Neodiprion lecontei: one gene and its partners. The protein of the gene in region 3 interacts with the protein of the main gene of each other region in a pairwise test. Links are inferred from orthologs where the notes say so. Each region holds a gene or a part of one and is shown on either strand. Other genes may lie near its edges.

What was found.
Region 1: the proteins of dynamin (region 3) and E3 ubiquitin-protein ligase Su(dx) interact in binary tests that used the Caenorhabditis elegans proteins (3 or more experiments, as listed by UniProt). The link is inferred for Neodiprion lecontei from reciprocal best matches to the Caenorhabditis elegans genes dyn-1 and wwp-1.
Region 2: the proteins of dynamin (region 3) and sorting nexin lst-4 interact in a two-hybrid assay, tested with the Caenorhabditis elegans proteins (2 studies listed by BioGRID). The link is inferred for Neodiprion lecontei from reciprocal best matches to the Caenorhabditis elegans genes dyn-1 and lst-4.

Annotation. Positions count from the first base shown.
Region 1 is NC_060261.1:34,762,937-34,770,837, reverse strand, and holds the start of E3 ubiquitin-protein ligase Su(dx), read right to left. Parts: upstream 6,020-7,901; 5' UTR 5,881-6,019; intron 5,071-5,880; 5' UTR 4,990-5,070; coding exon 4,932-4,989; intron 4,823-4,931; coding exon 4,367-4,822; intron 4,296-4,366; coding exon 3,899-4,295; intron 3,731-3,898; coding exon 3,499-3,730; intron 3,391-3,498; coding exon 3,080-3,390; intron 2,986-3,079; coding exon 2,743-2,985; intron 2,661-2,742; coding exon 2,501-2,660; intron 2,414-2,500; coding exon 2,139-2,413; intron 2,035-2,138; coding exon 1,809-2,034; intron 1,731-1,808; coding exon 1,634-1,730; intron 1,532-1,633; coding exon 1,359-1,531; 3' UTR 1,329-1,358; intron 1,210-1,328; 3' UTR 1-1,209. Other genes in the region: RNA-binding protein NOB1, read left to right, coding at 6,380-6,451, 6,692-6,824, 7,202-7,413, 7,516-7,901. UniProt on the Caenorhabditis elegans protein: E3 ubiquitin-protein ligase which accepts ubiquitin from an E2 ubiquitin-conjugating enzyme in the form of a thioester and then directly transfers the ubiquitin to targeted substrates. Ubiquitinates klf-1.
Region 2 is NC_060264.1:30,688,154-30,696,019, reverse strand, and holds sorting nexin lst-4, read right to left. Parts: upstream 6,020-7,866; 5' UTR 5,898-6,019; coding exon 5,883-5,897; intron 5,462-5,882; coding exon 5,263-5,461; intron 4,175-5,262; coding exon 3,714-4,174; intron 3,386-3,713; coding exon 2,690-3,385; intron 2,608-2,689; coding exon 2,356-2,607; 3' UTR 2,334-2,355; exon of another isoform or gene 1,489-2,333; 3' UTR 67-1,488; downstream 1-66. UniProt on the Caenorhabditis elegans protein: Involved in the signaling of vulval development by acting as a negative regulator of epidermal growth factor receptor (EGFR) signaling. Aids in phagosomal membrane tubule formation which is required for phagosomal fusion with endosomes and lysosomes.
Region 3 is NC_060262.1:30,901,734-30,906,678, forward strand, and holds the start of dynamin, read right to left. Parts: upstream 3,025-4,945; 5' UTR 2,635-3,024; coding exon 2,471-2,634; intron 529-2,470; coding exon 455-528; intron 1-454. Other genes in the region: serine/threonine-protein phosphatase 6 catalytic subunit, read left to right, coding at 3,365-3,433, 3,593-3,688, 3,779-3,986, 4,313-4,392, 4,500-4,605.

The DNA.
Region 1 (7,901 bases), on a different chromosome or scaffold from region 3:
AAATATAATCATATATATCTATATATATATATAATATATACCATATTATCGTGAACAAGCGACGAATTTATGTTCAATTTCTATCTGCCTGTTTGCAACTCAACAGTCAAGCAAATCATCAACTATTTGTTGCCATCAGTGTTGAAATAGTTTGTAGGTTCGTTTTTGCTATTTTGTTCTTAAAGTAACGTGGTTCTTTTATATGAATTAAAATCTTTTTATACAGTAGATAACTATTTCTTTAAAAGCATTGCTTGTCAACGGCTTTAATATATGCCACAAATTATTGTGTGTAGTTCAATTATGTACAATATTTATTATCATCACGAGGAATCTATACTTTGGATTGGTGAGATATAGAAAGCGTCAAATACTGAATTTCACTAGCGTTCTCATATTTTATTACCTTTCAATTACCGAAGATATATAATTTTTAGTTTATCGAAAATTCTTATGCCTTACTGATTCATTGGAATGCAATTCTGAGTAGGGTTATGAAGAAATTATACTACTTTTATTTTGAGGTCCTTTTTACTTTCTTTTTGAAGATCAGAACAATCACACCAATTGTATTTGAAATTTTGTTATTTTTCTCGATTTTTGACAATTTCTACATGAACCAATCACAATCCCTCAGCATTTGGCAATGTCTCCCAAGTACTCTAACTTGAGACAAATCGCGCCAAATTTTGGCTACCACAGCTATGTATTTTATTTCCAAATGATCTATAGTCAAAATGCAACGATTGTAGAAAAGTTTAGACCAGTCTCTAGAATCACAGTTTCTCTAATCTAGGGCAGATTAAAAGTAAAAGGTAAAGAGTATAAGTTGAAAAGATTTGAAATAACATGATTTTGAGCAAATAACAAGAAATAATTTTTCAAAAATATCTTATGTGGTAAAGATGCAGAAATTCTTACAGTCCTCGGACTATTATGTAAGAATTAATCCCATGATTTTGTATGCATATGTATTTTAGTATAAAAAATACGATAATTATACGTGCAAGAAAAAATATTTCTATCCAGACCTTTCAGCACCATCAAAGGCACAGTAAAATAGAAGAGTTGTTCAATTCCACTCACCTTGCATAAGGACTATAGAGTTTCTGATGTATATAATTAACTATTAATATGATGAAATATTTATACAACATTAAAGTTTGGTTCTTAAAAGTGCATTACACTCTGGTGCAGTTTGACTTCATTCTGAAAATATGAAAAAAAAAGTAAGACGCTTAGCACATAATAAATTCACTATTTGAACATTTTTCAGAAGATCTTAGAAATTTCAAACATGATAGATTAAAAATTAAAAACTGATTTACCAGTTCTCGTTTTAAAGCAACTGCAACTGGTCATTCCTGACCAAAGCCCTCTGTTTCTTCGATCGCATAGTTCAGCTTCTCCACCATTTGATCATAACTTTTATAGGGCGGAAGATCCAGCCTGTTGAAACACGTATGTGACCTCGGTAACCAAGTATCTTTACCCACCTTTTCTATGCAAAATCTTTGTGGTCCATTGCTCCCTGAAATGAATAATGTTCTCTATCAATTTCAAGGATTCGATAACACTGCAGTGTTGCTATTTTACATTCATTCAGCTGATTAAAACATTTTTCACAACATACCCATCAATTCGGCAAATCCACCAACTGGTACACGACATGTTCCTGTGACGAACTGTAGCAGTCTAGCTCGTTTTTCGCTGTCAGTTGTCCGTACAAACTGAAAAGATTTAATTTACAATAATCGTAAAAATTGAGGTAATTTCAGTTTCCTTAATAATTTATCGTTTCAAAGTACCTGCCAAAACCATAGTACTTGTTTACTGCTGCGCGTGTAGTGCCTGTAAATAGCGTTGCGTTGCCAGTCATCGACATCTATTTCTTGCATGCCACAGAGCATGAGCTCGAGTTCTCGCTCATCGAAATATTTTAGCCATTCTAGAGGCACAACCTCATTAAATCCTTCGAGGAAAGCTTTAGTTTGTTCCTCGATACCTCTCGTCATTCGCCATTCTGTCATCAGTCTGGAAATGCGAGCATTTTATTTTTATTATTATTTATTATTCTTATATTTTATTATTTCTTTACATGTATGTGTGTAGCAAAAGGTGTAATGCGATAACTTTACCTCATATACTCTTCCTTATTTTCTTCAACAACTCGAATTTTATCACCACCATCTTTAAGTTCATGATGTATGACTTGACCAAGAATCTCGAAATCGACGCTGTAATACAATTCGAGACCGCAATCATCTATGTTATTATCTTTTATCCATACAAGTGAATTGTAAAATTCCGGATCTATAGACTCAATATCCTTCATGATCAATTTCTTATTCAACATTCGTTTGTAAAAAGGCATTGTGAATCCACTGTAGATAAAACGTCCATGGTAAAGAGCCTGGTAATGCAAAAAATGGGGAAAATTGATTAAAGATCTTGATTACTTGTTCTCGTAATTCAAAATATATTAATAATCCTAACATACCATTGCAATGAACCTGCCGATGAATTTGAAATACTGTAGGTGGTCTGGATTCACGTACGATGCCGGATTTATTTGTAAACTGTAGTTGCTTTTGTTTGCATACTCAAAGAGACAATACATTGGATTCAATACCTCATGACTCAGTAAGAAAAACCATTCCCTGTTATGAGGAAAAAGATCCAATCATTAAACATGGAATAATATTTAAATTGGTTGAAAATTGATTAACCATAATTTTTTACCTTGATACTCCGCCATAGTCTAAGCCCTCTTCACCCTTGAATATAATGTACAATCGTCGTCTGAGCTCATAAGCCGGCAGTCTCATGATTTGGTGATAAGAATCTTCGAACAAAGTTTGTCGGGTAACGCTGATCTTTATATGACTAGGAAGAGCATTACTGTGGCATAAATATCTGAATTGTGATAATTTCCAGCGAAAAGATCGCTCATATGCCTTTGGAACCCCATAGACACCCTTCGGCCTGTAAAGAAGGTGACCAAAATATGTATTATGGTACTTGGAGTAATTTAGACTCAATTTACGATTAAACCGAAATTCTCAAAACTTTCACATACCCTTTCGGCGCTCCTGGTCTTGGATCTTGGAATGTTGTAGTTCTCGAATTATGGTCCACAAAATACCGGACTCCATCTTCAGTTAATCTAATCTCCCATCCATCAGGTAAGGGTGGTTCGTCCATTCCTGTTTCTTGTCCTTGCGTTCTTGGATCCTCCCATTGAGTTGTTCGATTTTTATGATTCACATAGTAAACTCTGCCTTCGGGCTGTTTGCGTCTCTCCCAACCAGCTGGCAGGGGCCCTAGAGCATCATCTTCTTCAACGACTGCCGTTGAAAGACCAGCCACTGCTGCTTGTCCACCATGAGCCTTTAAAAAAATGTGCAGAAGATAAGAATAAAAAGATTTTTGGTTGTTCTGAAAAAAAATTCATCTTCAATGACGAAATTTTCTCCAATTTTTTCAGTTGGTGATCACCTGAGGGTAGAGGAATCTTTGATTTCCTTGTTGGACAACATGTTGCCGTTCTCCCTGCCAGTGCTGGAAATGCTGTAGCCTCTCTGTGTTGGGGCGTTGCCAAGTAGTACTTCTTGTATTGTGATCTACATAATAAATTCTCCCTCGAGGATCCCTTCGTACTTCCCAGCCTGGTGGGAGTGGCTGTGGCCTTTCCCAGGATGTACTGCGAGTGTTGTGATCTACATAATACCTGGAACGATAAAAAACTAAAAAAACTGAAATAGTTCGTCAATCTTCAAATTTATAGCAGTATATTTCTCTTTAGATACTCAATGATTCAGATATTCTGTACAAGAATGGTTGTAAAATCGCCAGAAACAAACGAACCTTTTTAATTAAATGACAATCCATAATTTACCTTCTGCCATAGACGTCATATCTCATTTCCCAACCAGCAGGCAAAGGTTCTTCAGGCTGATTACCATTTTCAGTCTCCCCGGGTACTCCAGATGGTCCAGCAGATGCTGGTTGACCCAGTGGGGGCCCTGTTGATCCACTGCTACTTTCAGTAGCCAAATGATTACCAACTCCATTAGCCATAGGAGAGGTAAGGCCAACAATTTGAGCATTGTTGGTATTATTACTGGGTTGACTTGCAGTGTGACTAGGATTGTGAAGAATGTTGGTTGAACTTCGATGCATAACTGGCTGCATGACGGAAGGTGCTGCATTCTCTGATCCGTGTAATCGCATGCGAGCTCTCACACCACCATTTAGAATACTTCGATTGTTCCCAGAGTCACTGTTTGAAGAACCTAGAAATAAAAAATGTTCGATCAACATTTCAGCTAATGCGAAAAAATATCTCTGAGATTTAAGGCCTTACCAAGTGGCGTCAGGGCACCGCTTGTAACTTGATTGTGGCGAACTTGTTCGCAGGAATTAGAGGGTATGACTTCGTTCATATCAATTTTTAGTCCGTCAAATAATGTTACCAACTCTCCAACCTTTGATAGTGGACCATAAGCATCGTGTTTATTTTCGCTCATTAAATCCAAAGTTAATTCAACATTATCCAATTTTCCATTGTAGTAGGACAAAACTTGAAACAAATTAATTCTCTTTTCACCAATCAATGCATCCCTACGAAAGGTGCTGTGATCCAAGAGTCTAAAATGCAGCTGGGAGTAAGGTGTTACAAGAATGGTAAACTTTTCCACCCATTTTGGCTGATATGTGGATTTTGCAATCTCAGTTTTGCGAGGACTCTTGTCATCAACTGAGAGTTCAACGTAAGGATTAGGTTTCAGAAATGACGAATTGCGCAATACGGCTGCTTCAACTGAAATGAAAATTAATATATCTTGGAAATCAACATGTTTTTAAGATAAGTAGATGAGGTAGAACTTGATCATAGTGGATGCAAAATTTAAAAAACTATTATCATTTACTAGTGATGCTAAGCTGATGAAACCCTGGAGTTGCAGCTTCCACTTCGCACTGTGACATGGTTTGCCTTTAGATGTGATTCACCAAAATAATCTTGAAATACCATTCATATTAAAACTCAGCTTTCAGAGTATTGTATAACTGAAAAATAAAAAAGAACATTTAGTATAATGTGTAGAATTTACTTAAAATCATTGAAAACAATAGGTTCAAGGGATCTAGGAATATTTTCTGTGAATCAGATTCTCTGGTGTAAGGTAAATATAAATGATCAATCTGTAAATATTTCTATTTTCGTGATTCAGAAAGCTTATAATTCAGCTTATCACGGATCCAGCTGTTACTCAGCAAAACTGACTAAACTATATGTTAGAAGAATACTTTCTTTTCCTGTCTTATTATTTGCTGACTAAAAAATTGGTCAAAAATTGCTTAGATCGTTTGTTAGTTGGCAAAGTGAGAGAACTTTAAATATTTGTAGCCAATAGAATACAGATTGAGGTTTGCGCAGTAAGACTATAGAACAAAAAAACAAAGACGATTACAATTCATTTAATAAATTAGGTGCAGATAGAAATTAAGTTGCGTAGAGGAAAGAATGAAGTACGTAACAGATCAGCAAAATTTGTAAATGTTGTCGCTATCAATTGATTGATCATGTGAGAAGATAATTAACAAAAATAAAATTCATAAAAAACAAAGGTGTGAATTGTTGAGGAATCAATATAACGAACTGTAAATGGAATACTATTTTACAAGCAACAAATTAAGAAATGTAAACTGACTATTTGGTAACAATGGGAGTATTACATTAGACTAGGAAATGAGGTACAGAAAAATGAAACGAAAATTATGAGTAATATACGGGACATTAATCTTGACGTTTCGCGAATGGTTGATTCATCATACATTGCAGATAGGTTTTGACGTTTCAACTATAAGGATACAAACCTATATAGTATTGAACAAATTTCTGAGGCGCGTGCAGTCTTGAAACATCGCTCGCTCGGTATCGTCGATTATAAGACACAAAAACTGAGTTGAAAAACACTCGGAGGATTCGTTATCATGATATTTCACTATCTGACGTCAGCCATCTTGCTGTCCGTCAGATCTAAAAGTGAGTAGTACGAAATTGAGATAAATAAATTGTTTAACAAATCGGGAATGGATTAATAATTTTTATACGGATACGTAAATTTGGTAACGTCATGATTTGTGCGGTTTATTTTTTTTCATTATTACAGAGTGTATTCAAAAGGAACAGGGGTCTAGAATTTCCTCGTTTTTTAGCGTAATTGTAAAACATAAGCAACTCACATGAGCTGCGTAGTTCCCACTCCGTGGTTTCAGACGTTTTAAGCATTTAAAGACCCAATATCCTAATGGAAGTGTGATATTTTCCGTGTAGCGTGGCCACATGTAAAGCTCCCATTGGAAACTGGGAAAAATGAAGGCTGACGCAAAAGTGGAGTATCTGATTGTCGATACTAGTGCATTTATTAGAAACGCAGCTATACAGGTATGATAAATAATAAATAAAGTACAGTTGTCCACTCACCTGCGTACACTCAATTACATTGCACTAGCTCGAATTAGGTTATGCCATCTTCGTTACCTAATTAGTAATGCGTTTTCTCGTACTCTTCTTTTTTTATCATAACTTAAACCGATAAGATTATGATTACTTGATATCGTATCACTTTTCAGCTCAAAATTCTCATATCATGATAAAAACTCATCTCCCAATTTTTCGTAACAGGATATCGCTGCCAACGTTATAACTCCTCAAGATGTTGTTAATGAAATAACCAACAAGCGGCAGCTCAGAAGACTCGTTGTTTTACCTTACGACTTGATTATTAAAGATGTCTTTCCAGAGAACATTCATTTTGGTGAGAGAAATAAACAATCAGCCTACTTGTATTCATTATTTCTTCACGTGGCTTTTTTCACGCCTCCGTGTCTTTCCATGTCTCTATCTATAGCTCTTTCCATGTCTATATGCGATACTCCAAACATGCCAAATGATATGGCTAGAGCATTTTGTAATCAAGTCCTATATGAATCATCATATTTCACTACTATCTGCAACTACAATACACATATGATGTATGTATGTAGAAACAATCGTGCCAATACCTGTTATTTTGCAAAAAATACAATAGTGTGCAAATAGATATGGCCTTCTTGTTTACACTTGGCATTATTTACATCATTCAGTTGTGGCTTTGTCAGTCATATCACTATTATTCGTACGTATGTCCCATAGTTACCGAATTTTCTAAAAAGACTGGAGACTACCGCAGTCTTTCGGCAACTGATATTAAGGTGATTGCCTTAACTTATCAGCTTGAGAAAGAAAAAGTTGGAACTCAACACTTGAAGGATGTACCTATAACACCTGTAAAGCCCGATATCAGCATCAATCTCCCAGATAATTACTCGCATAATGTGGCTGGATTTTTTTTACCTGACAATGATGTAAGCAATACAGGGAATAAATAAAATTAACTTACAACAAGCACTTTCAATTGGCGAAACTTTTGGTTTCATGTTGTACCAATGCTTTTTTATCTCATTTAGAAACAAGGTACTGAAAAAGAAACTGTGGAACACTGCACTTTTAACCAAAACGAAGACACAAAAGAACTAGATTTGCATAATAATTTGAACACGGTAATCTTGCTGAAAAATGGAAGCGCAGATTCTACCTCTGAATCGGACGATTTGTCAGAATACTCATCAATTTCTGATTATGAGACAGCAACCTCCGACTTAGAAAACATAGAGAAAGATAGTTTACCTGATAAATTTTCTGCTTTGAAATGCAATCCAGAAGATTTGGAATTGGATAATGGCAAAGACGTTGACGATATTCTTCCAGCTGAAAATTGTGAAGAGTTTACTGATGAGGACCAAGAAATTGAAGAGAGTGAAAGTGAAGATGACAACGATGAGGGTTGGATTAC
Region 2 (7,866 bases), on a different chromosome or scaffold from region 3:
TCAGCGCAGCTTGATCGCCAGGAGTCGCAGTGCATTATGTTTCTCACCAAATTTTTCAATCGATCGATTACTAACTATTGTTCACTATTTTCACTATTTTCACTAGTATCACTATTTTCGCGAAAACAGTCAGAGCAAATTTTATGCGAGAGAAAAATAAAACCCGCAGGGCATAATAAAAATGACGGCAAAAATCGTCCTCGAGTAGGTAAAAGTTTAAACGAATATAGAAATTGTAATATAATACAAGTTTATTAAAGATCGATTCGTTCGCATAACAACATGGAACAATCTTCATCCAAATGACATATGACATACAATTTATAAAATTAATTGTGTATAGTGTTTTTGAGTTTACAGATGTTTATAAATATTATATACATATACAAAATGCTTCACTGTTTCGATACATAATTTACACATATATGTGCGAGAAGATAAATTCGTATTGACATAATTTTACAGTCCATCTAATTATTATCGCCACGAACATGGAATTTTACACAATAAATTTTTCGCATCAAATTATTTGGTCAATTTTGATGTTACGATGAACTTTTGTGAAATCGAAATCGAATCTTGGTTACTATATTTTCAACTAATAATGTGATTTTGAACCACTCCGATTACCGCATATCACAGTTTCTATCTTTCATTATATTAATATTTTATTTCAGACCTTCTCAATTCATTGACTGTGTGAATAATGCGGAAAATAATTTTTTCACTAAAACTTGGAATATTTGTTACGCGTCGTATAAATCAATTTTCAAGAATCGGTTATTCCCTCCGATAGAAAAATTGTTAATTTTGGATCTCCCAAAATCGTAAAATAAAAAAAAAATAAAAAAAAAATAAAAAAATAATAATAATAATAATAATAAATACTAGTAATATGCACAAGGTAATGTATATTCCAGATGAAATATTCGTACCTACGAATATAAATATATAAATATAATATACGGATAAGTATACCTATTTATACGGATTACGATTTTCCAGTTAGAATTTGGTTTTTGAAGAGAAAATTATACAATAAGAATAATAATAATAATAATAATAATATTAATAACATTGATAATCGTTACTCGTGCGATACTGAAATAAATATCATACCGACCTCGTGTTGTAAATTGTCAAAATTTCAATTGTAAAAGGTATTTGTATATGTATATACGCGGACACACGGGCGCACTAATACGATGATACATAACATACACACTAGAATGGTTCTTGAAAAACTAATTTATGAATTTCGAATGTCTCAACCACCGAATCGGCTCCAAAGGATTCAAAAATAATTCCCAAATTTTTTCAGATTTTGAAATCTTTAAATTTCGAGTCATCATACGTAATCAGCGATCCAAGAAACCCTCCTCCATCAAATTTCATCAAAATCTGTTTGGCAGTTTTACTGTTCCCTTGAAAAGGGTTAAATGGGAAAATCGACTCTCTGGCGGCGCAGGTTAAAGTTGAGATAAAACTCTGAAACAATTAGAGAATCGTTGGTGAATTATTTGGAGCCAATTTAGGAGGTGAGACCGTCGCAGTTCAAAAATAATTTTTTTTAATGACCACCCTAGCCACACACACACACACACACACACACAAAAGATGCCATAGATTAAATGATTCATTAACTTTGAACGTCAAAGTTGGAGCACCTTTCGAATATAATCAATAATTATATCCGAAATATTGATTTAACGAAAGGTAAACAAGAATGCAATTGAAGGATCAAGGAAAAAAAAAAAATCACCCATAAGCGTAAGTTCTATATAAATGCTATTTGACGTAAATGCATTCAATTTATCATATCAAAATATTCAACATCGAAAAGTTGTACATATATACAACACGTTATGTTGTTTTACGAAGTTTTGGCCCCTGTAGCAATTGGACGAATCGGGGTAAAAAAAAAAAAAAGGTGAATATACTAAACTATACAAGTACCGATGTTAGCAACGTACGATTACAGTCGGATAGATTTAGCTAATTATTTACAGGTCAACAATCATTCATAACGCATGTAACGGCAAGTGACGTATAGGAATCTATAATAACAAGGTAAGCATTTTATTTTTTAGATACTTTTTACTCTCTCACATGCTTTCCAGACGCGTAACTCACCGAACGTTAAATGTAACGATGGAAAAAGTTTCGAAATCGTTATTAGAATTTGTATAAATTTATTAGTACGGACATGACGAAATTAAATTTTTCCCCATTTTGACGAGTCCGACAAAAAGCGAATGAACAAAAGTTCAACTAGTACGAGAGAAATGAATCGTGTTATTGCTTATGCGTACAGAGATTATGAGCGTTAGTACCTCTTGCTGTTCAATTTAATTTTCAACCGTCGTAAGCATTCAACGCTTCCTGCAATTTGTTGACAATTTTTTTATAAAAAGCGATCTGCTCGGTTAGATGATTTTTCATAGCTTGTTTGATGTGGACCTCGCGTTCCATTTGAAAATGTGTTTCCTCTGCCATCAGAGCTCTGGCTATTACGTCGGTTCGATGCGAAAGTTCTCGTAATTGTTGCGGCTCCATTTTATGCTCGCTGACTAGCCTCTCCGAATCCTTTCGCTTCTGTACGGCGCTCTGTGTGATGACGTTATCAAGAATTACCAAAATTCGAGTAACAAAAGGAAGAAAAAGAGGAAAAACTTGACTCCTAACTCACCTTGTGTATGCTAATAACGTCGGGGAAACTGCTAATTATTCCTCTATAAATATGAAATTTATCGCCAAGCGGTTCCCAGTCAAATTTCGGTTGTTCCTCGTACAATTTTCCAATTTCGTTGTAAGCATCTCCCGTTACTTTTAAAGCGGAATTCAGTATACCTCTACTATTATCGTCGGCGTCAAGAGCAAAACCTAAGGATGTAAAAGACTGGGCAATTTTCTGAAATTCTCTCTTGTACAAAACCTGGTGTTTCTTTGACTGGTCAACAGCCATTGCCATAAAGTTTTTAACGACCGGATCAAGTCCGTTGATAAATTTGGCAAAAGCGTCATTCTCTATGTCGACTTTAACCGGATCCAAAGGTGTGTCCGGACACTGAAGTACGTTGAAGTAATTCACTCCCAACAGTTCGTCTTTTTCCGCCTGCCGTTTTCCAGCCTTCCATCGTTTCTCGTCTGTGCAAGTCATAAAATGTTCCCATACTCGACTGCGACATAAAACCGGATGTCTACAAACGTAATCGACAAATTCTTGAAGCTGAGTTCTACGATGCTCTATAAACTGTTCCTCGTAACGACCGGATATTTGTTTATCCGGCAATGGCGGTATTGGAATAAAGCAGTATTTTTCTTCCAGTCTTTCGTGTAACCAATCGAAGTGCTTGTATCTCCTCGACACTTGTATATTGTTAAACTGCAATTGAAACGAAAGTTTATTTTCCCTTCAGGTTTGTCAATTTTTTTTTTTTTTTTTTTCCACTGTTATCCCAATGAATGTAACTTGAATTGAGCTTTTTTAGCACCACAAAATTTCGAGAAAAATAATAAAATGCCCCAAGTGTTGTTGTAGTAAAATAAATAAATAAATAAATAAATAAATAAATAAATACATAAATAAATTACGCAAAGTCCAACTTGCTACCAATACTGAAATTTTTTCTGTAACCAAACGAAAGTGATCCATAATATTGGAGACAAAAAATTTGACCATACATTCATATCGAACAAATTAGCTTTCGTACCGTCGGTGTCAACTGGTAAACAATGAAGCTTTTGAGTCCCTTGAGCTTAGACTCTTTCTTAGGTGAAGTAACGACGCAATTGTACGTATCTATAGCCGGCACCCACACACATCGTCTCTCTTCATTTTCCTCTATAAACACTCTCTCGTTATCAGGTACAACGACTATTTTTGTTCCCATTAAAAAACTGTCTTCCCCCGACTTGATGAGGGTTGAAAATTTTGTATTCTTTTTAGGGACGTTAGATATCGGTCTTTCCGATATGACTGAGTGAACCGTATGCGTTGAAATTGAATCCGCGTAATCCGGATATACCGGTTGCGACGACGGTTGTACAGCCTGTTGTAGATGATGCTGTTGTTGATTGACAGGAGCTGGCGTATCGTGACCAGCTTCCGAGTCATCGTCCCAATCGTCATCCCAATAATCCCCCGTACCCTGTTGCGACGACGTTGTACTGCCTGAAATAATTTGTACCAAATCTTCATACGCTACATTTTCCTTTTGAATTCACGTACTCTATATTTCATCCCCATAAACGACGCTCAGTTAATGCGAATGTCATAGTTATTTAAATCAAGTTCTCAGTGCGGTTATTTCAGACAAAGAGAGAATAACCAACTCGACTGCTTCGCGTGATACTTTCGTGATAACGACTGGTATGGAATTACAAGCCACAATGACACAGCTGCCGAGAATTTATCAGAAAAATATTTCAATCGACAGAAGCATTACTAAAGGCATTTTATCAGATAATCCAATTTAAACTTTCAATCAACACCGACATGCGGAATGTGAAACAACTATTTAGAATACAATTTACTCAGAAACTAAATGAATAACATGGTGGAATTTGTTCTCGGAAATAAATTCCCTGACCTTCCTTGAACAGTTGTTCAATTTTCCCTGACTCAAGTTCTTATTGTCTTCGATAGTTCTACGAATCCCCAATTCTTCGTTTCAGTTCAATATAAATTCATCAGGAAATTCAACAACGTCAAGAAAAATCACATGAAAACACATCGAAATATATATATCATACATATATGTATCATACATGCTGTGCGGTTCTGTTTATAACTCTGAAAAGTTTCACTTCTGTCATGTGTGATTGCCATACATGTTTTGAAATAATGAACGAAATTAAGAATTTTTTAATTTCCTTTCGTGCCATTTATTAGATGTTTGGTCATCTTTTTTTGACCACTGAACAAATTTGAAATTCCCCGTCATTTCCATGATTCCCAGACCAACTTTTTTCCCCTGACATTTCCCGGTTTTCCCTGACCGTGGCCACCATGAATAAGTATTTCAAACGAATTAATACTGTATGACCAAAGAATGATTCATCAGTTTCTTCGTTCACAATGCTTTGAATTGTACATCCCACCAACATTTTAAATCATGGTTTATGTTCAACTTTAGTAATTTGCAACAGTTGATCGCAATCCAGTCAAACTTTTGATAACATTGCCTCAACTTTTACACATTTCAACTGTTCTAAATCGATTCAAGTCAATTTGTTGCGAGTAGAGTACATGTTTTGTACCTGTCATAGGAGGCGCGGAAGCATTGGGATCAACAGGCTGTACATAAGCAGCCGGAAAGAGTCCAGACTTTCCACTCTGATTAACGCCCTCGCACCATCCATCTCCAACGTTAGCTCTGATGACGGTTAAAATTTGGCCAGCATTGATGGAGAGCTCGGCAGTCCCTGGCTCTCCAGTAAAGTCATACAGGGCTTGTACCTACGCGGGATAATTGCACAAATAAAGAAAAGCAGCATTTGAATAATTGTGTTTTTACAATGCTAGGAAAATATGAATCGAAACGACAATGGAAGCGATAGATGTAAAAAGAACAATCGAAACAAGTGGATTAGTGAATGACAAAGAGTAGAAAATTTACTGCATTGCTTTCTTTTGAATGTTGTTCAAACCACAATTATCGAGATTAACAATGTGTTAGAAAGAAAGAGAGAAAAATCTAGAACAAAATATCCTTTTTGTAATCTTTGTGAAACAAAAACGAACAGATGAGCACAATGAGTCATAGAGGCAAGGATTAATCCGGTTATTCATAGTACGAACAGAGTGCAGTATGTTGCATGTGTGTGCATTTCACTTTCTCTGCTTCCTTAGTCTTTTTTTTCTTAATCCAAATACTCACCTGATGACCCTCCATGTTGCTAGTGTCACCAGAACCTCTTAAACGTCAGTTGAAACGAGTTGATAAAATGTTTTCGCGGCGTTTTTTATTCGCCAGACCGATTATATCAGTCGCACTTTGCCAACATGACTATCTAATCTAATGACAATTCGATCATCGTAACGTGTCGCGACGTTGGTTGGCTCACGGTTCACTTGTAATCAACTTGTTTTACGGAGATGGTATGTATACTTACCTATAACTGCTCCCACTCAACTATATGTATAAGTACATACACACATACGTATATGCAATGTGATACGTGTATTATTACGCATGCTTGCCTACCCGAAACTATATAAACACATCAAGACGTGACAATAACACCCTCCGCTGAGTGGCGCTGATGTGCCGGCGGTCGATTTCTCAAATTGTGAAAATATATTTGGAAAAATATTATTTCGTCTTAGTCTTAATTCAAATTATTCAATCACTTGCATTGGCAATTTCACTCTCACACGTAATACTAAAATCTTTTCCTAACGAGGACTAATCACGCGAGTATTTCAGGCATGTGAGCTTTTGCCCAACCATGAACTAAATAAACTTTTCTTCAACCACGAATTATAGAAGCATTCAAGAACGGGCTCATCGCGGGGATGCCCAAAATTCCAGGTAGTCTCGGAACGAAGCTATATTAAGGCCGTATTCGAAAATTGACTGACAGTACTGTCAGCAATCTTTCATCTCTTTTGCGCTGCCGAGTTCATGGAAAGCTCTGTTTCTGTCCTAGGGAATTTTCAGTACTGGCAGTCAATTTACAAACACGGCCCAAGTCCACGCGCATAAGGCGTTATGAAACTTTACAAGTAATTGTTTTGTAGTTTGAACAATTGCGGACAAATGCGGGAATCGTGTTGTTAATGCAATTTCCGGCCCCTGTACTTTTGATAACAGTATCGGTGAAAAGAAGGAGATAGCATCGTGAATAAGCAATCAAACTTACTCAACTTTTTTTTAATAGTGTTATTACACAATTTTAGGCCTATTATTCAATATACTAAGAGAATATCTTGGAAGTTAACACTCGGTCAACGCCGACTCGGCACCACTCACGTTCATCATCTGTTTTTCGCAGGCTGGCCATCCCATATTCAATTTTAAACTGCGAAAGACCAAAAAATAATTGCATCGACGACGACGACGATTATGTTTTCGTTTTATGTATGGGGCATTTCCTGTCAAATCGTCCATGAATTTGAGTTTTTGATTCCATGGAAATTTTTATGGGTGATCACACCTAATGTGATGAGGTTTAAGGAATTTTTTCGATTTTCGGCCTTTCGCAGTTTAAAATTGAATATGGGATGGCCAGCCTGCAAAAAAACAGACGAAGAACGTGAGTGGTGCCGAGTCGGCGGTGACCGAGTGTTAACTTTCAAGATATCCTCACAGTATGATCGTATTAACATTCTATGAAATTCGTTAAAATTTCACGAGGTTGAAGGTAGTATCGTTATGGTAACGAAACGTTGAGAAAAAATGACTATTTTCTCATTTTTAGTGATTTTGAGGGAACTAGGATTAAAAAATATGAGAATATTTCGTTTTATTACGGTTTGCTGAATTTTGAACAGTTCGAAAATTACGAAATAACGGTTTTTCCTCAACATGAATCGTTGCAGTAACGTTACTAACTTCAACATGATAAAATTTCAACCGTCAGGTTTCACTCTTTTGTTTTACTGAACTAGTCAAGCAACATTCGGCTGATAATGGCTGCCAGTTACAGTTTTATACTATCCATAAAATCAACCCGCATAGAGCACGATTACTAAGAGAAGATATATAAATTCCAAATTTCGGTCGCTCAAAAGTGTAAAATATGAGACGGGTGATTTAATATATTATAGACGGGAGGCTTTAGGATATTAGCAATAAGATTAAAAGAATCACATGCGAGACTCACCCATCGCCAGATTGTCCATGGAAACGTTAGCTGACC
Region 3 (4,945 bases):
GACTCGAAAGCTATCATTTATTAAATCAAAGTTCAAACTGATACTATATTCTAATGACTAGCTGTTGGTTTGGCCATGCATATCAGCCGGAGCTGAGTAAAAGAGGAGAGTGGGAGGAAAGGGGATGAGAATCAATACTGGGCCTACACTTCCCTCATGTAGCTATGCTCATCACTTTTTGGTAACAATTTTTTTTCTCTACAATCAAGACAAGAATACTGCAGCAAGAATTGCTCATGGATCCTTGATGAAAAGAACAATATTTCTCAAAAATGTGAACTATTCGTAATTACATGAAAAAAAAGTAGAACAATCGAATCAAAATACAATGCATCGTTCTGCATTTACAAGTTTCCTAGTATGAATAGTATTCGGTTTTTGGAAGAAAACGAGATAATGAACCAACAAATGTTGATGATTTATAACCAGATGTTGAGTAAAAAATTGAACTTACCAGTAGAGCTATTGATCAGCTGGAGAATAAGTGGTCTTCTTGTTACAATGCCTGATCCTCTTGGCAAGAAATCTCTGTGAAAAAAACATATACGTTAACATATGATTGCTAAGATCAATACATTAAAGGTAATTTTATTGCAGAATTTTATTCTTAAAAAACGCTCCGCAGGCTTATTCTCTATCTTTGAAGTAACGCATACCCACAGAAATATTTGCGGTTCTATCGGAAAGAGCTAATGGGTAGTTTGATTCTACAATAACGTTATTCGTATTTTGAAATTTCGACGTTGTTTATCTATTGTCATGACAGATTTGAACACACAGGTAACAGATAGGCACGATTCCCTATTTTTTTAGTTATTTTAGCTGCAATTATTTTGTCGGGATGAATTCTGCGATTACGTAGCTGCAAGGTTGGAGAATAAGCCCCCAGGTCTTTAGGTAAAATAAAATTCTTTTTTTATGGTTAGATTAAAACTTAGTTCAGAGTTCTGGTTTGATGAATTATATCTTGACAAAAGATTCTTTGTGGTGGCAAAAACAATTCGAGTTGACTGTAACATGTGCGTGTGCTTAGAAGAGACAAGTGAATCCTCTTTTTTACTCACGCAGTATGAATCATTGGGCTAACTGCTGTGACATTCTTTGCTAAATGAATGAAAATTGCATTTAGCAAAGTTCACGGTAGCTGCAATTGTGTTTTAATTTCGTATGCAGAGATGAACAATAACACGAGGCTCGAATATTTTCAAAAAGCACTTCGTAACGGGAAATACTTGTGTTACAGCTTCTTTATACAATTACTCTAAAGTAGAGTGATAATTCTTCACCAATAACAAAATTTCTACAAAAATTTGGGTGAAAGAAGCATTTGGCAATCTTAAATTTTGGAAAATATTGAAATATGACGCTGTATTGATCTGTTAGGAAAATTGCAAATGCCAATATAGGGTGATTCTTTATCTGGGCTCGTATCAGTCTTATTTATTTACTGTGGAAATAATTATTCTTCACAAAGCACAATTTCTTTCAATAAGCGTTTATGTATGAATCGTTAACGAAAGACTGATTAGAAAATCGATATTCAATAAAGTAATTCTACATTACAAAAAACAACTGTATAGTTTGAAATACACAATCAAGCAAAGTAGAAACTAATTTGAAGTTATCATTGATTCATGACTCCACTTACGAAGACACCTTTGTTTGAGAATGATCCAATTTTTATTGAATTTATGCTACATCGACAAATCTTTAATCAGAAAGACAATTGACTAGCAAAAAATTTCAAGAAATCTTATGGCATGGATAATATATCGTGGAAAATCGTAAAAATTGTAACCAAATTTGGGCACTGAGATAAAATTCGGAAAAGAGACCCAAGAAAATTTTTTTCTTTTTGTAGATTTATTTTTCTGCACATGTCAGCACTGTTGAGTCTAATTTTTTTCCAATCAATATACAATTTGAAAGTGGTCTTGAGGTTGGATCTTTCTTCATCGGTGTCGCATGTCGTTTATTTGTTCAATTGTTTGCCATTTTTACATCTAGCTCTTTTTCTTTTGTTACCGTACAAAAGTCGCGTGTTTCTCAAGCCAACTTTCATTTGGAATAACGGGTGAAAGATAGCGTGAAAACAGGCTGACTCATATTATCAATTGTTAGATCATCGGGACGATTGAGACTTTAGAATAGAGAATTAGAGTCTGGACTAAATATTCGCGAAGGAACTTGATACAGGGTGTCACTCGAGGCGAGTGGGCGACCGGGGAATTTCGTTATTGACCCTGGCGACCCGTACGTTTGAAATTTCCCAACTGTCAAACGCGTTGACGTATCGTTAATTCCCAGCATCGACGGTATTATTATATTGACGGGACGTTTAAGGTCGGCTTGGTAATTTGCCACGCCTTGCGTTGTATCGGAGCAAATAGGTTAAGAATAACGATAAAAAAAATTAGCATGGATTCGTCGATAATTTCGGGGCGTTGATGGATGGAAGGATCGAACTTACCTGCCGACAAAATTTTCCAGAACGGAACTCTTGCCAGCACTTTGTCCGCCCACAACAGCGATCTGTGGCAGGTCGAGTTGCATGTGCACTCCGAGCTGAGTGAACGCATCTTGAAGCTTATTTACAATTGGTATCAACTGTTCCATTCCCGTATTGCCTGACATTTTGGTTAATTTTAAGTTATCGTCGGCACTTCCTCGAGCAACAAGAGCTATTCAACGACACTGGAAAACAGAATAAAAGCGTATCAGCACGGAGCCGCGACCACCACCTCCGTCCGACAGGGTAGCAGTAGAGCGGTCAGAACTGTCTCTCACACTGCTCGTCTCTCTCTCGATAGAGCAAAATGGCTGGGCCCACGATATTCCTTGAGCCGATTCGAACTCCGAACCCGAGTGTTTTCACCGCATTTTTAATACCCGGAGCCCGATTCTGCGAGCGAGAAACGCGCGTTTCAGCAAAGTTCCGTAAGAAAACGGACAGAACAGCAACACTGCGAGTGCCCTACGCCGCGATCACGCAAATGAGATCCAGCATCAAGATTCTGGACGTTAACGTTATAATCGATAATCGAAGCTTGCGCAGTGCCGCCGAGTTTCTGACCCAGTTTTAGAAACGGAAAGAAAATCTATACAGATAACGACGTAGTGAATAGCGTTTCGTTGACAGGGGTATTTACCAGCGTTAAAAGACACGTTTTATACAGTTTTTCAATCAAACAGTTATCCACAAAATTACCCGGAGTCGGTGAAATTTTTAATTAATAAATATGATATTTTTTAAGCAGCGCGCTCTTTCTTCCGGAATATATAGCGATAAGCCAGTCACAAGTACCCTGTTCCACAGATAGGTGACAGGGCAGACCCGCTATTTCCGCGACATTACGAATCCAAAATGTCAGACATCGATAAATGGATTGATATTGCAAAAGAGTGCAAATACCTACCAGAAAATGACCTCAAGGTAATGAGCGCATTTCATTGACGATAAATAAATATTTACTGCTCGTATAATCTCTCGCCGTACTTTCGAAATACCAATTTTCATGAAAATATTTTAGGTTACATTTCCCGAAGTATTATCTTTGAATAATTTAACTTGTACTTTTACCTGTTTATACAGAAATTGTGTGACATGGTTTGCGATTTGCTCCTCGAAGAATCCAATATCCAGCCAGTATCGACTCCAGTAACCGTATGCGGTGATATTCACGGACAGGTGAGCTACTGCGACCCAATATAACCTCAAAACTTTAGGGCAGTACTTGTTGATGCATATCCCATAATATTTGTGCGTCTTTCATGTCAGTTCTACGACCTGGAGGAGTTGTTTCGGAGCGGAGGCCCAGTACCTGATACAAATTACATATTTATGGGAGATTTTGTCGATAGAGGATATTACAGCTTAGAAACATTTACCCGTCTGCTAACACTAAAGGCCAAATGGTCAGACAGGATAACGCTATTACGAGGAAATCATGAATCGCGCCAAATCACACAAGTTTATGGATTTTACGGTAACCATGTGCTCTTCTATTTACCATTGTAGGATCCAGTAATCTCAGAGCTTTGGCTATACGTTAGGATGGATCTGAAGCCCAAAATATAATTAGCAAGTTTTCACGCTGCGAGCATGCGGTTGATTTTCGTTTTAGTATCTGTTTGATTTGCTTTTCTTTCAAGCCTTACGCTTCTTTCGCTACTGGAAGGAAATCACATAATGTTTACATGCAAAATTTAGTTTGACGAGCATGGGAGTTAAATGTCAGCTTTATAAGTTATTCAGGTTGCCTGCCCCCAAACTTTTTTGGAATTTGACTCCAGAATTCTCTTTCCTTCACAGATGAGTGTCACAATAAGTATGGAAATGCAAATGCGTGGAAGTACTGCTGCAGAGTATTCGATCTTCTTACAGTAGCTGCTGTGAGTATATTTATACATTAATGCACCATGATTTTCAGTACAAAAGTAGTAAAAACTGAAAATACTAGATACGTAATAATTTATTTCAACGAAATTTTTTCTTCTAGTTAATTGACGAACAAGTGCTCTGTGTTCATGGTGGTTTGTCACCAGCTATTAGGACTCTAGATCAAATTAGGACAATTGAAAGAAATCAAGAAATCCCACATAAAGGTATGAACAACTATAAATCAAGTCTATCGTATAACAATTTGAGTAAATATTATATCCATCAAAAATATTATGTAATGATTAGGAACGCTATCCTGAAAACTTCCAGTAAGCATTAAGTTACTCAGCTTTGCACTTTTGAAACTGGTGGGTGAAGTTCGTTGCCGAAATCTTGTCAAAGCTCATGGAATGCCAACATTTAAATAAATTTATAAACACAAAAGTGTACTGCTTTCCTCTATATAAGAAAAGTTTTGGTTCGATTGCCTGCCAAATTTGACTGTCAGTTTCAACTTCGTATGTGGCCAACTCGATTGATATTTTCTCATTCTTTATTTACTTG